2 linked regions of the Saccharomyces cerevisiae S288C genome follow. The protein of the gene in region 2 purifies or fractionates together with the protein of the main gene of each other region. This does not show direct contact. Each region holds a gene or a part of one and is shown on either strand. Other genes may lie near its edges.

Evidence for each region.
Region 1: the proteins of RRG1 (region 2) and RRG8 purify together in Saccharomyces cerevisiae (affinity purification with mass spectrometry; 2 studies listed by BioGRID). This does not show direct contact.

The regions. Positions count from the first base shown.
Region 1 is NC_001148.4:756,633-760,299, reverse strand, and holds RRG8 (Rrg8p), read right to left. Parts: upstream 1,653-3,667; coding exon 819-1,652; downstream 1-818. Other genes in the region: HOB2 (Hob2p), read right to left, coding at 1-275; RGC1 (Rgc1p), read right to left, coding at 2,172-3,667. UniProt on the Saccharomyces cerevisiae protein: Required for respiratory activity and maintenance and expression of the mitochondrial genome.
Region 2 is NC_001136.10:578,684-582,614, reverse strand, and holds RRG1 (Rrg1p), read right to left. Parts: upstream 1,929-3,931; coding exon 831-1,928; downstream 1-830. Other genes in the region: RTR2 (putative protein-serine/threonine phosphatase), read left to right, coding at 117-707; 40S ribosomal protein uS15 RPS13, read right to left, coding at 2,163-2,597, 3,137-3,157; AIM7 (Aim7p), read right to left, coding at 3,503-3,931. UniProt on the Saccharomyces cerevisiae protein: Essential for respiratory growth and required for mitochondrial protein synthesis. Required for vacuolar acidification.

The sequences.
Region 1 (3,667 bases), on a different chromosome or scaffold from region 2:
AAATCAACATTATGAAACACAATTCCGGGTTTCCAACCTATTCGCAAGGTTATCTTGCCAATATATATTTGAGCAAAATCAGTTAAGATAAACGCTCGTCTTATTGACGTACCAAAAAAGTATCCAAATGAAATTTTTCGTATTGTGGAATGGCGCAGCATCAATATCCATGACATGAGAATACTAGCGATTTTCTGAATTGATATAATAAAAAGCATAAAGCCTAATAATAGTTTAGACACATCCCTTATTTGAGACCACGGTAACATAGACATTGTAGATTTTTTTTCTTGCAATAAACAGGATACTCCAGCTACTAGATATTATGGATGACAAGCCTACTCGAGAAATTGATCAGCAAAACTAAATTGAATGCTTAGCTTTTAAATGTAAGCCTTTTCGTGGGAAAAAGTGTATGATTTAGTTTTCAAAGAAGTACCTTCTATAATGGTAAATTATTGGTTGTGCTCTTGAATATAATGCATGTGTATGCCCTTGAAGTTTTTAATACAAAGCCACTAGTGCAAACAAATCAACAAATCTATTTACCCTTAATGTTCCTCTTTATCAATCATACAGCCTTGCAGATGGATGGTAAGTGATGGACTATAGAACACCTCAGAGATATTTTACGTAGATGTGCGGGATTAAGGGTTCTGAATTCTCCTGCCCGAGGCGCCCAAATTTTTCATTTTCGGATTGCAAAATGATGCCATTCGCTGACAGCCAGTTTTGTATTCATTGAATAAGAATAATGGCAAATTCAGAGAGACAATTCCAGCGATATATCCCGCTTTCCTTCCTTTTTTCTTCCGCAATCAGTTAACTGAATGAAACAATAATGTACTATAAAGGTGTTTGATGAGATCCTTGTCATTGTCGGCATCCAGGTAAATTCCATTAGTAACTGCATCTTTACTCACGATAGCTTCTAGAGTTGGCTCGTGGAGATAACCAAGGTTAAAGACAGACTGTGTAATTGGTAGCCCTTTACCATGACTAACTACTTGTATTTCAATCGGGGGTGTTTTTCTCTTGTCACAAATGAGTAAAACACGATTTATCGAAGAAGGTCCAACATTCGGTATCACTGAAAGTCTTGCTTTTATAAATGCGTGCAAGTTAGCATTGTATTCCGTTATAAATGTAGAGGAATCAACTTCTAGGCTCTTTGGAGTTGATGTTTGCAATACCGAGATTGGGAACCATGACGTCGCAGCCGCCAAGTTGTCTTGTACAATGGAGGCTGAATTCAATACGTACGAGCTTTTGTATGATTTGGAATAATCTAGTGTAGGTACCAGTTTTAGTTTATCTTTATCAGCATGCTGATCTTTGCCAGTTGATGGTACCACTTTCAATGGAATTAGTAATTCTCTACACGATTTTAATTTTGAGATTTTTTCTGCTCTCATTGGAGAAGCTAAAAGCCTACCATATAAGTTATTTTTTAAATTGAAATTTTCCAAATGGAACTGCCCCACCATTTCCTCTTCATCTTTGAAATAGAGCTTCTTGCGCTTATCCGACCATTTCTCGAAGTTTGTAATGAGCGGAGAAACATCTTTGACTCGTTGGGCACAGTTTTTATTAATGACTCTCGTTGGACAATCTATGAGTAACTTCTTATATGCCGATTTAGGTAAACCCATATTTGATTTTGAGAGGTTCCCAGGAGAATTCACAACAAAATATTATTCGAAGGCTCCTATCGTCATCATGTACCGTGGCGCATTGCCAACCTGTCTTATAGAAAGGCCGATGTCGTAAGCGGACCGGAAAACTGGAGATGAACAGGCATTGCCAATCCTACCGCCACTGTAAAAAACAAGTAAGAAAAAGATAATTATGGACGCTGGCTTTCATTTTAAAATAACATCAAGTTCAGATGATACTTCTGAAAAATACCCAATCAGGAATCTATTTTTATTTGGTAGAAGACTACTTTGTTTACTTATAAAAACATGATAACTATCTAAGAATATATGAACTGATTGCGTTTAACTTAACTTTTCCATTTTGTCTTAATCTTCTTCGTTTCCGGTAGTTAATGGGTTTGTATTTTCAGCAGGAACATGACCCAGGACTTTCTTGTTGCTTATTACACTTATCAAGGAACCAAATGACATGCTCTTCATCTGTGCAGTCTTATTGGACAGGTTTTCATAGTGTCACTTACTTGACGCGGATGTAGCAGGTACAGTATTAGTACTTCCCTCCTTGCGCGAGTGAAGAGACTTATCATTCGATACAGTAGATGTTAGTGGGACGTTTTCCGCACTATATGTCTTTTTCAAACTGCTATAAGGAGCTTCAACACCTTTAGATGTAAGCGGTTCCTTCAACGTTAGACGTGATTGTGAGGCGCCCTTCTCATTGCCGTAGATCAATCGTGAGTCATTACCTTCTTTCCTTGGACCACATTGATGGGGAATATGACAAGCTGAACTTTTGCGAGAGCCACTGCAGTTTTGAGTTCTGTTTTCCTCGAACAATGGAGACTCCATCTCAAAAGGTGAAAGATCTGACCCTCGTCTTGCTTCCGAATTGCAATTCAATGGTATTCCAAAATATCCGTTTGCATTACCATCCAATGCTAGACAACTGGGTGAAACACCTGGTAAGTTCATTAATGGCGAAGGATAAAAATCAACCCGTTGGTTGTGAATGGATGCAACACTGGAGGCACGAGACGATTTATGACTACTATCTGAATACGCGCTTGCCGGAATAATGGCTTCATCCCCATGATTACTAACAGCTATTTGAGGTACCTCTCCGGGAGCCGATGCTTTTCGCGAAGAGGATGCCATTAAGTTATCTGCTGACCGGTTGTAAAGCATACCTTCCCCAGTATAAGGTGAATAAGGCGATTTGCAAGGGGTTCTAATTGTGTAACTCATACCATTTTGTGGAGCACTGTTTTTCGTTTCTCCCACTATGGCCAGATTACCATTTTCATCAATGGCTGGTGTATTGACTTTTGACCTGTATACGGAATTCATAGCGCCTGCATTCATATTTGCGCTTTTTGGGATGTCTATATAACGAGGACGATTTGCCCTCTTCCTAGTGTTTAACGTGGTAACAGAGGAAGATGGCGTTACTTTTTCAGAAAGGTTAACAAAACTGTCTACTGGAGTGATATATGTACTGTTTTTGGACCTTTGAGAGCTCTTTCCATTATTATGGTTTCTACTTTTCAGAATCTTTTCTTCAATGAAGTTCGACCTCTCCTGAGTAGAATTGAAACTTGTAAGCGCTTTTATGTCCTGAACCCATTTCTTGAAATTTTTTGATTCCTCTGGAGTTGGTTCAAGACTTGCGGAAAATATTTTAAACGTCCATTCAACGCGCTTCTCGCAAATTGACTTCTTATTGATGTTAGCTTCTTCTTTAGCCTTTTTTTGTTCCTTGGGCACGGAAGAACTCTTTAGAAATTTCGGAACGGACACCATCGAGAGAGCTGAAGGCGTACGTTGATGTTTGCCCTTATTTGAAGCAAGCGTCTTTGTTGGACATGCCAAATCTGAGGTCGTGCTTGATTCTTTTGTACATGTGTCCTCTGGTGAATGATAACTAGCATACCCTTGTAAAACAAAAGTTGAGTCAGTACTATCCTTTAATGAGCAATCATTTAAAGACAAACTAGAGATAGGATATAGAT
Region 2 (3,931 bases):
GAAGATTGGAAGCCATTTATCAACAGCAAGGAGGCATTCTGGAAAAATTGCAGCATATTTAAGAAAAGTGATAGGTTTATTTTTATACTAGAAGGACAGGAGCAACGCAAGCCATAATGCAGATAATAACCACTACGTTCATTCAAAAAGTAATTTTAGGATCACACCAATTACATGAGCAATTATCTATAGTGGAAGCCCGAATGATTGAATCTGCCATAGTTTCAATGCTCACAGAATCATTTTGCGAAAATGAGCAGACATTAAAATACTTAGCACGGCTACTTTCACCGATGTCTTATATGGATGTTATTAATGCAAGAAGGGGAAAGAAAATATGTGGGTACCCGCTATGCTATAAGAGTGCGGCAGAAAATTCATCTGATGGCTTCTTTATCCACTCAATGTATTGTAATAATTATCACAGTAAATGTTCGTTGTATTTAATGAGACAGTTATCACAAACGCCTCTGCATGAAAGGCGAGGCGTGCATTTAACTAGTTACATTAATCTAGAGTTTGATGATATGTACTCGGTAAGCCTTTTAGAAGAATTAGTTGGAAGTGAGGTACCTATAGATACCGTCAAATCGCTGATAACGAGTTTCAAGGATCTTGAGTTTGATGATACCTACAAGAATGAGCCTTTACCATTGGATGTGTACTTTGGACAGTTGACTACTGATGAGGAAACCTGTATAGAATAGGAAGTATAATTAAATCGTCTTCATCAGGATCCTTATCGCGGTCATACGAGTGACTATTTACATAGAAATGGAAGTAACCAGTAAATTTTCTATTAAACTTTCTGATTCACGCAACTTTTGCACTTAAAAACCGTATTTCGCCAAAACACTTGGCAAGTCCCTCCCTTCTATAAAGAGTGTCACATATGGTAATGTTTCTTTGCTCATTTTTCTGAATAGTGTCAACCGTTTGGCGTACATTTCTTTTGACTTTTTATCAAAATATGCTAGTTGGCCACCGTTCTTTAAAAGCTTTTCCTTATATTTGTTAAAGTACTCCACTCTTTGAAAACTTTTGGAATGTAATTCGAACATTATTTCTCTCACGGGATCTACCCATTCTTTAACTTTCTGATATTGACTCGAAGGATTACATTTAGTAGACTTTGGGATATTTGCAGCGTATTCCAAGTATTTCGGTAAGTTTACTTTAATAATCTTTTTCGACTCTAGATATTCCTCCCAAATGGCCTCATGTAATGCCCAAGCAGCATTAATTTCGCAAAAATTGAGATTATCGATATTTTTCTGAGAATCCTTCCTTTCTTTTCGTATCAATATTCCCAGCTTTTTCGATTGTTGTCTGCCCTTGTTAATTGGTGACCGAACAAACCATATTTGATTCCTTCCTTCTTTTGTATATGACAGCCCAGCAGAAGGTGGGCCATTTTTCAATTTTTGCTGAATATGAAATAGTTTCAGGCACGCATGTTCGTTCAATGCTAATGGTAATAGGAGTTTGTGCTGATACGTTTTTGGTATGTATGCAGGTAAAAGGCCCAAATCTTGTTTTCGCTTAATGTAAGCACTTAGAACATGAAATCTTCTTACTTCTTCTGGGTCGTTGGTCTTTACATCCCCTAATGAAGTCAAAGAGTTGAGGATTTTCGTTGTTTTCAGTTGTTTTTTCATCTTTTTTAATGGCTTCATTAAGTTTTTGATTTCTTGTAATTTACCTTCCAAAAGGCAATTGTTCAACAAACTGAATTCATTGAGTAAAGTATAAACACTCCAACTTGACTTGTCATGCTTGTGTTTGAACAATTGTATTGAAAGTGTTTTTTTTATTTCATATTGAAACGCATATGAGTGGCAACACTTTGGAATGTTTCTGAGAACGGTCCGATATAAGCTCAATACGTAAGACTTGTGAGAAGGAATCTTTCCAAAATTTTGAGCCATATTTTCTACTTGTTCATTACAAAAGTGTTAATCTGTTGCTTTCTCAGGCAGACTTGGTAACTGAAAACCTTAGGAAAGGCTGGGAGCAGCTTTGAAGTTAGAAACGGACACAAAAATTAGCAATAGTGAAATAAAATAAAATGCAACTTATCGTTTATAAAGAGATGTTTAAAAAATCAATTTTAGTTATACAAAATATACATATAAAATAATGAAATAAATGATTTAAACACTCTAGTTGACCAAAGCGGAGGCAGTGGCGGATTCGTACTTCCAGTTTGGTGGTAAGACAGCAACAGTTCTGTAGTATCTGGCCAATCTGTGAATTCTAGATTCGATCAAAATCAATCTGAACTTAGCGTCTTTGTCCTTTCTGTTTCTTTCCAAGTGCTTTCTAACAGAGACAGCCTTCTTAATCAAGTAGTACAAATCTTCTGGGATTTCTGGAGCCAAACCATTGGACTTCAAGATTCTCATGATCTTGTTACCAGTGATAACACGAGCTTGGGTAACACCGTGAGCATCTCTCAACAAGACACCAATTTGAGATGGAGTCAAACCCTTTCTCGCGTACTTGACAATTTGTTCAATGACAGATTCAGAGGACAACTTGAACCAAGCTGGAGCATTTCTAGAGTATGGAATAGCAGAAGAAGAAATACCTTTACCCTGTTTAAAGTAATATTTAGTGGAATTGGATATTCCAAAAAATTTATCGAATGTTAGTAACATGAAGATTCATATGGCTTGAAGAAAAGTGTATCATGACATATTTCCTCGTTCAGACCATACAATTCCATTAAAGTATAACTATTCCGGGTGATTCTTCAATCTTGGTTCTCCTCCGATAGGTTAACGTGTTATGTTATGAGCTTTGTGAAAACTAATTCATAAAGGCGGCTAGCCATCAGTAATTTTCCGGCGTAAATTATACTGAGAAACGGCAGATAGTATAACCTGTTAAACTAATGCAACATATTTGTAAAAGAAATTGGAATCACCCAGCTAATGTACAGCGAGTAGAAACTACTCTCCAGTATAAACTATACCTGTGTACACACCGGAACTTGTAATAGAATTGTGATCCGACAGAGACAAATTATATTAGAAATCCACTTTTGAATTCCACATTAGAGTGTCATCTGATTTAGCGAACTATTCAATGCAACTTTTGCATTAATATCTCGCTATGGTGTTAATAAACATACGGCACTGTGCATACGACCCATTTTGACTGATTGTTGTTGATTGATTTAGTGGTTAACCGTTTAGAATAAATATTAATGAGAAAGAAATTGTTAATTCAATCACGACTGTGATATATGTCGGCCAACATAAATTTCCATCTGTACAGAAGTGGAAATCTCATTCGTATCAAAATTTCACCGCTACTTTGCGCGCTCAGAAAAAACGACAAAGAAAAAATTATAACGTAAAATTTTTTTAAAAATGTTTGGGTCTACTTTATGGTTTATGGGTGGTAAAAGGCTTATATTATTGCTATGAAGATAAAAAAATGTTTAAAGTACACTACATGATTATAGGAGGTAGTTTAGTGTTTAAGATAGACTATACTAACAATTTTCTAATTGCTCCCTCAATTCTTCAACGTCTGAGTCATCCTCCAAACCTGAAGAAACCTCTATCAATTTAAAAGTACCGCACTCCTCTCTGATCATTTCTAATGCGCCGGCATAAAGCATCTTCCATTCCTGTGAAACGACCGTCATTGGCTTCCAATATACTAGAACTAAGGGAGTCTGTTTGAACCCATCTTTTGTTGTTGTTGGATATGCAGTTAGTACAAATCTAGGTGAGTTATCAGGTAGGATCTCGGCTAATTCGCTCAAATCTTCAATTTCGTCTAGCTCTTCTTGTTCGTCTTCATCGACAATTATCTCATAGGACGGTTTTGGTTCGATCTTTATTGATAAAGCTTTTATGGAGTCGGTTCTTGCTGTAGATGTACGAAACTTCTTGATTTTATTTCTAGTTTCAGTTCC